2 linked regions of the Oryctolagus cuniculus genome follow. The protein of the gene in region 1 purifies or fractionates together with the protein of each later gene. This does not show direct contact. Links are inferred from orthologs where the notes say so. Each region holds a gene or a part of one and is shown on either strand. Other genes may lie near its edges. The genes, in order: RABGGTB and RAP2C.

Region 1 (3,812 bases):
ACACAAACCAATTTACAGCTGTTGTTCTACAAAACAAAAAGGGAATAAACAATGACATGGAGATGATACACTGAAGCAAAAACAAAAAACTGTACTTAGAGTAACAGCATTAACAAAACCTAAAGCTGAACATACAATGCAAAATCTATTTTACAGTATGTATAATTACATAATTTATTAAAATTAATTTAACACAATATACAAAATATTAACAGTAGTCAATGTTGGAATGGCAGCTACACTAAACAGCTTTTCCATCAGCCAACTAGCTCACTAATTCAGGCTGAACATTCACCCTGCGAAGCACTTCTTCAGGCATGCAAAAAACAGGATTAACAGGTTTTATCTGTTCTTCTCCCAGAAGGGACAATCCAGCAATTCCAAATAATGTATGAAAAGGATCCACCTAAAACAAAAATTCACAGATTACAAAATGAATGGTCTCCCCCAAAACCTTGCTTCAAAATATTTTATTTATACTGCAGCCAATTCCACTTTGTGTACAGGCTTTAACATTTTCAGAAATAAACTTAAACCTGCTTCAAAATATGACCTTTATCATATAATATTTACTAACTTGTTTAATAGGCAAGGAGATTTTTTCTGACACTATTCAGTAAAGTACACTGCTTTGACGTTACATGCCTGGAAATGCCTACATCAATGAAAGTAATGCAACACTAAAAAGATATATAAACATTAGAAATATACTTGCCATATCTCCTGGCCTGTCTGCAAATCCCCCCGTTTCTTCATCTTGACATGCTAAGATGAAACTCCGCAGTTTCTCTCTATCAATCCAATGAAGTCTTCCGATAATCTTTAGAGAAGCCAACACCCACCATGAATAGCACACATCTGGTAACTAGGAGTAGGGGAAAGCAACAAATAACTACTAGTATTAATTCTGTTCTTAAGTCATTAGTAACAATTTAAAGTGAAGTCTCATCTAAGCAATCTGATATTCAAACGGTGAGAAGTAACAAAAAACATTAAAATATGTTTGCAATGTTTGCTTATAATTAAAAGATAACCAGTGGGAAAGAGAAAACTAACTCCAATTTATAAGTACCCATTCTAAATGTTTCAGGGCTCCGTGACAAGTATATATCTACATTTCTAACTGCATCAATAAATTCCTAACTCAGCCCATTAACCAAGAAGCTGATGAGAGGTTCATGAAATCTCTTGAGGGGGCTGCAGTAGGTAAAGCCACCACCTGCAGAGCCAGATTCCCATTGGGTGCTGGGACTCTCCACTTCTGATCCACTCTCCCATGGTCTGAGAGAGCAGTGGGAAGATGGCCAAAGTCCTTGGGCCCCTGCACCCCCGTGGGAGACCAGGAAGAAGCTCCTGGCTTTGGATGGGCTCAGCTCCAGCTGTTGTGGCAAGCTGGGGAGTGAACCAGACAGAAGGCCTCCCTCCCTCCCTCCCTGCAACTCTGCAGATGGAAGACTTGCTCCCTCTGCCTCTCAAATAAATCTTTATAAAAGTCATCAAAAAATTAAAAAAAAAAGAAATCCCTGAGAATGTTACAATAATCTACATACAACATTTTCCAATGCTTTCCAACTAGGCACCAATTTGCCTTAATATCTTAGATCTAAAGCCTGGCTCCCCAAATTTCTTACGCATGATTCAGGGGCACACTAAGTGTATCCAAGAGCAGAAGCGTTTCAATCTTTTGGATTCTACTTTTGCCACTGGCAGGCTTTTTGAGATATTATAATGGAAGAAATGATAAGTTGAAAAGTCACAATAGGAGGAAGGACAAGGACTTCCTCATTACTACGAAGTGGCATTGATTCAAGCTTATGAAATAATACCTTCTCTGGTCTTCCATTAAGTCCACCTGAAGGCAACTGTCGTTCACAAAGCCACCAACCAAGTAAATCAGAATTTACTTGATGCAGCTGACTAGTAATAGCCAGGAATCCTGTGCAACAATAGATCTAAAATTACAGACATAAAGTACATGTGTATAATAATGTGACAGTAAAATAATGACAAAATCCAACTATTCAAATTATTAAAACATTTTTATCACTTTTGCCTTCTGATCTGATGATTCAACATTTCTAATTTTAAATAATTGCAAAAATCCAAGTATACTACTAAAATACATGTCATGGCATGTCTCTTATGAGACCTACAGATAAGGTTAAGTATAGTGTAAGTATACTGCACAAAGGGATGCTACATATGATGGGAGATTTTATACTACTCAGACCAATGAAAAACTTAGTCTTAAGTTGACCACAGGTATTACAATTGTGGAATGCAAAGTCATGCATAAGGGAGCAACCACAAAAAGTACTCTGGCACAAGCAATGAGCTGCCCGTTTGGCTCATGGTAGGTAGAAATGTTTTCAACTGCATAGTTAAAAATTGAATATATTTCGGTTCAACTGCTTGGGCCAGAGAGATCTACTAACAGAATGGTACATAATGCAAAATATTGTGGAAAAGCTTTCCGTAATTCTTAACATCCAATGTTACACCCCAATGATATTACACTTAACACATTTCCCTGTCATCACAATGGTAAATCCTTCAAAATTGATACTAAAATTTAATCTGAATTAAGTTACCTGCCCAGCATGAGATTCAGAACCCGGTCTGCAACCAAACCCACCATCAAAGTTCATGCAAGATAAAACAAATTCGATGGCTTTTTCCACATCAATTGCATCAAGCTTCCCCTATAAACAAAGAAATATGCCTGTTAAATTTCAAAAGTCCTCATGGATGCTTCATCATTTCAATATTCAAAGCTTGGGGCAAGCACTGTGGTGCAGCAGGCTGGGCCACACTTGGGATGGCCACCCATCTGTTCATATCCCAAGTCAAAGTGTGTGAATAGAGGATTCTCAGTTATTATTTCCAATCCAGCTTTCTGTGAAGTACACCCAGCAGTGATGGCTCATGTATTTGGGATCCCTGCCACCGAATGGAAGACCATGCATGGCTCTGACCTAGCCCAGTCCCTGGCTCTTGTGGACAATTGGGAGTGAACCTCTGTGTGTCACTCTGCCTTCCAAATAAACAAACCTTAAGTATTTTCAAAGCTTACCAACAGAGCTAACGTTGCCACCGCACAGAAAGAGAATCTTGTATCAATTTCTCCTAAAACAAAAAGGAATCAATCAAACCATTATCAGACTTCCTTCTGATATAGTACAAGTTACCTAAAAACAAAATCTGTACACCTACTAGCTTGAATTTCCAAGAGTTCAAGCTTAACATCAGGTAGTCAGAACTGCTTAAATCTGAAGTTCTAAGTCTAATAACTAAAAAACTACTCTGTCAAAAATAACAGCAAATTATCAATGTTGTTTATGGGGGTCCAGAAAGGGAAGGAAACATCTGAAAAAAAACTAGCTAATTTCAAAAAAAAAAAATAAAACTTACCCTTATTTAATAAAAAGTAGATTTTCACATCCCATGAAGCAGCTGGTCTTTCTGGCCTGCACTGTGTTTAGCCCTAAAACACAGATTATCTACATTTATCAAATAAAAATCCTATTCCCTCCCTCCACACAAATATTCAGTAAGTTTGTAAAGTTTTTTTAGAAGTATTTTTCCCTTTCCAGCAAGTACTTTTTAAAAACTTTACAAAACCACCAAATATTGGGGGAAAAAAATTTCACCTACCTTATCTTTTAGACTGGCCCCCTCTGTTCCAGTGCTCCTGTATGCTGTTATAACTACCACAGTGCATGCTGGAACTTCCAGCAGACCATTAATTCCAATTAGACCAGCTGCTTCGTGGGACCTGAAAAAATGAAATACTTAAAAAAAAATCTACAAAC
Region 2 (4,399 bases), on another chromosome or scaffold:
TGAATGGGTTAATCAATACTCAAGAAACTTCCAAAAGGTTACATTCTAAGCTAAAGACAACCCATCTGTTCCTGGTCTTTTCTTTCCTTCGACTTAAAAATAACTTGAAAAGATTCGTGGCTGCATGATACCTCAGTACTCTGTCTCTAGAAACAACCTGACACTTTTCCACGCCAGGAGTAACCTCAAAAATGCGCCATGTCTAACTTTCAAAAGCCAAACACAGTCCTGAATGCGCGGTTCCAGCAAATCAGAGGTAAATCAGGATTACCACACCCCCTTCCAACAAATTACAAGACTTGGTTTGGTTACCTGAAAAGACTGTTGATTAACCAGACTATAAACCAGGATGAAACCTTGGCCGTTTTTGATGTAGAGATCTCTCATGGAGGCAAACTGCTCAGTTCCTGCGGTGTCCAGAATTTCCAGCACGGAGGGGGAAGAGTCCACTTCGATCTCTTTGCGGTAGAAATCTTCAATGGTGGGGTCATATTTCTCAATGAAAGTCCCGGTGACAAACTGCACAGTAAGGGCAGATTTGCCAACCCCTCCGCTCCCTAACACCACTACCTTGTATTCCCTCATGAGTCTCCCCTTCACCAACTCCTACCCGACGCGGGGGAAAAGAACACCCCGCTAGCTGCGCTGGCTGCGGCGCGGCTAGGCGGAAGGTGGGCGGAAATCTGCAAACTGGCGAGGAGAGTGCAGAGGAGCCGAGGGCCCAACCGGGGAAGAAGAGGAAGTTACGGGAGGGGGAGGGGAAAGAGCCAAGTGTCGGGTGGGTGGGGATGGGATGGTAATGCCCTTCCTATAGGAACTGAAGCCCAGGCAGGGGGCGTGGGGAGGAGGGCGAGCTGGGAGCAGCCGAGCGAGGGTGGGGAGACGCGGCGCACCCCAAGGAGGGAAAGGGGTGGGGGCCGCGGAAAGACAGCCCCGCGGGCAGTCGGGCGGTCCAAGGAGCCCGCAGCCAGGGGCTGCCCGGCAGCCCTCCCCCGCCCTTCACACAAAGGGGCCCAGGGACCCCGCTTCCTGCTAGCGCTGCCGCCGAGCCGGCCCAGGCCTGCGGGCCCCGCTCCCGTCACTGCAGCCCGGGCGGGTCTCTGGGCCCCGGCTCCAGCGGGGGTCGTCCGGCCTGTGGTGGGGAGAAAGACACGCATTACCCGCCTGACCCTCGCCCCAATCCAGAGGCCCCGGCTTCTCCTTCCCCCGAACCAGGCTGCCGCCGCCGCCGCCGCCGCCGCCGCTTACCCTGCCGTCCGCACCCGCCCAGCCGCCCGGGAGGCTCTGTCACTCCAAGGCCATGGCCACCCGCTGGCTCCTGTGTGTCACCGCCGCCCCAGCGTGGCTGCTCGCCGAGGGGGAAAGGGGCGGGGGCCGTCCGGCGGCGGCGGCGGCGGCGGCCGCAGGGACTCCTGGCGAACCCACCTCTTTTTTTTTTCTTACCCACCCCCCACCCCACCCCCCAACACACACCCGGAAGGGTTTCCCTGACACACTGACTGAGGTGCCCCAGTTCCCCGAGACTGGACGGGATCACTTCCGGTGGGGGAAAGTCCCACCTCTTCGGGGCGAGCCGGGTGGCGCTGGGGCCGCGCCCTGCTGAGCGAGTGAGCAAGCTTGCGAGCCAGCGAGCCGGCCGGGGACGGTTTCGGGTCGGGGCTCCGGCCTTGGGAAAAGGCCTCTCCGAGAACCTCCGGCGTCTGGGCCTTCCCGCCCGCGGCTGCTGCTGACCGTCCCACCCCCAAAGCCATTGCAGCTCCTCTGCCTCAGCTTCAGCCTGCCGCAGCTGGGCCTGAGGACTTGATCCGCTCCTTGGCCCGCGCCGGATCGTCAGCTAACAATCTAGCGACCGGGAGAGCGCCTCATGTCCCTGGACTAGAAGTTGCAGGGAGAATAAAACCGCCCAGAAGTTTATTCTCTTTGCTGGTATTTTTTCCACTTGATATGCCTCTAAGAAATGCATGCAACATATTCCTAGACTTCGCTATGGCTCTGATTTGATATGTGGTGTGTTGCTTAGCCGTACCTGACAGTTAAATACACACAGTAGTTTTATCATCTTCTGGCAAATCTGCCTTGACTCCACTAGCAAATATTAAAGTCACTCCTTAAATTAAAAAAAAAAAAAAGCACAAGGCTAGGTAGAAAAGAGCATTAGAAAAAGAATTTATGGTACTCCATTTGATTTCAACCATGCCTGCACAGCAGAAAAGCTAACCAATATTCAGGGAAGCGTTTATGGAAAATCCTTTGGACCTGCAGACTAATTTCTATTAAATTTCCGATCATCTGCATGCATAGCAATTTGCATGTTGTCTCTTCCACGTTCAAGTGTTTTTTTTTTAAAGGCCATTCTTTAGCGTCATTGGAATCTTAATACAAATATTAATTCCACTGTTAGCAAACACTAAGTTTCTACTTTTCGATAGAATTGTTACATATCTTTCCCTTTGCTGACTTTCTACTTGTAAACTTTGTGTCAGATCCACAGGGCCCCTGGGCCAGAATGCTAGGCTGTATTTTAGGCATGTCACTCCCTTTTTGATTAAAGCATGCACCCAGAAATCTAACAGATTCGGGGGCCAGCCGGGTTAAAGTCTCCCCAAATTCCCTTCTTGCAAGCCCTAATGACCAAACTGTTTAAAAAAACGATTTATTACGCAAATTGCTAGGCACTAGAAAACAGGCGAATCACAGCAGCGTGAAGTCCCACTGTCCCTCCCTGTGTATACCCCAATGTCACTTACAGTATTCGAGGGACTATTTAGTTCAGTTTCTCCTCGGCCTCAAGCTGGTGCAATCTCTCCCACGGAGTCCCCAGCTCTGGCTCCAGCTGGCCTGGGGCCTGCCAGATATCTGAGGCACTGCCCCCTGCTGGAAGAGTATTGGTCTGTGAGTTAGGAGTCTCCCCATAGGTCAGCGCTCCTTCCACACGTGCTGTTGCCTGATTTGGAGCTCTGCTGCTCATCTCCCTGTCTGGCTGTCTCCAGACTGTCTGGTGGAATCCACAGCCTTCCACCAGCCGTGCCTGTAACCGAGTCTGGAAATTCCTCTTCTGATCCAGCCAGCGTTGAGCAATCGTAGCCAGTCTCTGCTCTATTACTAAATTGTGAAAACAGGGAGTTCTTTTTGAAGTTGTCCCACCTGTTGGCAGCTCTAATCATCCCCGAACGTGTTGGCCCTGGTTTGGAGCGTTCTTTGTCCACACAGTGAAACTTACTCCTCCCCATGCCACACACTCCCACTGGGTCACTTTCATTAACTACAGGGTTGGCAAGTGTCACACTCAGTCTGAAGATCCTTCTAAACTTTCTTAGGAAGGGAAGTCATTACAGCATTCATTAGAAAAATGCAAAATTGGAAATGACTTCAGTGTCTTACAGTCGATGATTCTTATAAATTATGTACATATACTCGCAAAATAGGACAGTATGCAGCTATTAAAAAGAGAAAAATATATTTGTAAGTGCTAATTATGAAAATAAGGCCAAGATATGTTGTAAGGCTAAAGTAGATACTGAAAAATGTACAGTTGCTCCCATTAGTGTCAAATAAGAGTGTGCGTGACAGTTATATAACCATGGAAATCTGAAACAAAGTAATTATAGGTGAGAGATATTAAAGAACTTTCCTTTCTCGTGTTAATTTTTGAACAATGATCAGTTGTTTTTAGGAAAGGAAGCAGTAAATATAAAATTAGCATGTATTTAAAGGAGAAATGAAAGGAAGTTGTTAATCAACACTTTGTCAATAGACAGTTCTGCCTAGGGGTCAGCAGGGGGCCGGCTATGTGGCTTGTAAAGCCACCGCCTGCTGTGCTGGTGCCGGCATCTCACTAGGGCGCCAGTTCCTGTCCCTGCTTCTCCACTTCCGATCCAGCTCCTTGCTGGGGTGCCTGGGAAAGCAGCAGAAGGTGGCTCAAGTCCTTGGGCCCCTGCCACCCACGTAGGAGACACAGAAGAAGCTCCTGGCTTAGGACTGGCTTTGCTCCAGTCTTTGCAGCCATTTGGGGAGTGAATCAGTGGATGGAAGATCTTTCTCTATCTCCCCTCTGTAACTGTGCCTTTCAAATAAAAAAAATAAAAAATAAAAGATAGGGGGTCAGCAGATAGGCCTGCCCAATTTAAACAAACTCCTGCTTGCTGTCCTCAAACATCTCTATACTTAGAAAAGTAATTTCACATACATTATCTCACTTGTTTGCCAGTGTACTTTCATTAGGCAATAAGAGTATAAAGTCCAATTAGAATAGTGAGGCCCGGCAACTGAGGCTCAGGGCTCTGAAATGAGGCAGAGACATTTAAATTGCAGCTTCCCTTCGTGTAGCAGTGTGACCTCAAGCAAATGATTTCACCAGTCTGAGCTTCTAACGCCTTATCTCTAAAAAGGAGCTGAAATT

The links.
Region 2: the proteins of RABGGTB (region 1) and RAP2C purify together in Homo sapiens (co-immunoprecipitation; 3 studies listed by BioGRID and IntAct, counting the BioPlex papers as one, with this or other methods). This does not show direct contact. The link is inferred for Oryctolagus cuniculus from reciprocal best matches to the Homo sapiens genes RABGGTB and RAP2C.

What each region holds. Positions count from the first base shown.
Region 1 is NC_091438.1:96,203,905-96,207,716, forward strand, and holds part of RABGGTB (geranylgeranyl transferase type-2 subunit beta), read right to left. Parts: intron 3,127-3,812; coding exon 3,074-3,126; intron 2,703-3,073; coding exon 2,592-2,702; intron 1,953-2,591; coding exon 1,827-1,952; intron 866-1,826; coding exon 716-865; intron 407-715; coding exon 266-406; 3' UTR 1-265. UniProt on the Homo sapiens protein: Catalyzes the transfer of a geranylgeranyl moiety from geranylgeranyl diphosphate to both cysteines of Rab proteins with the C-terminal sequence -XXCC, -XCXC and -CCXX, such as RAB1A, RAB3A, RAB5A and RAB7A.
Region 2 is NC_091453.1:109,804,811-109,809,209, forward strand, and holds the start of RAP2C (ras-related protein Rap-2c), read right to left. Parts: upstream 2,889-4,399; 5' UTR 2,748-2,888; intron 1,519-2,747; exon of another isoform or gene 1,474-1,518; intron 1,390-1,473; exon of another isoform or gene 1,249-1,389; intron 1,133-1,248; 5' UTR 586-1,132; coding exon 313-585; intron 1-312. UniProt on the Homo sapiens protein: Small GTP-binding protein which cycles between a GDP-bound inactive and a GTP-bound active form. May play a role in cytoskeletal rearrangements and regulate cell spreading through activation of the effector TNIK.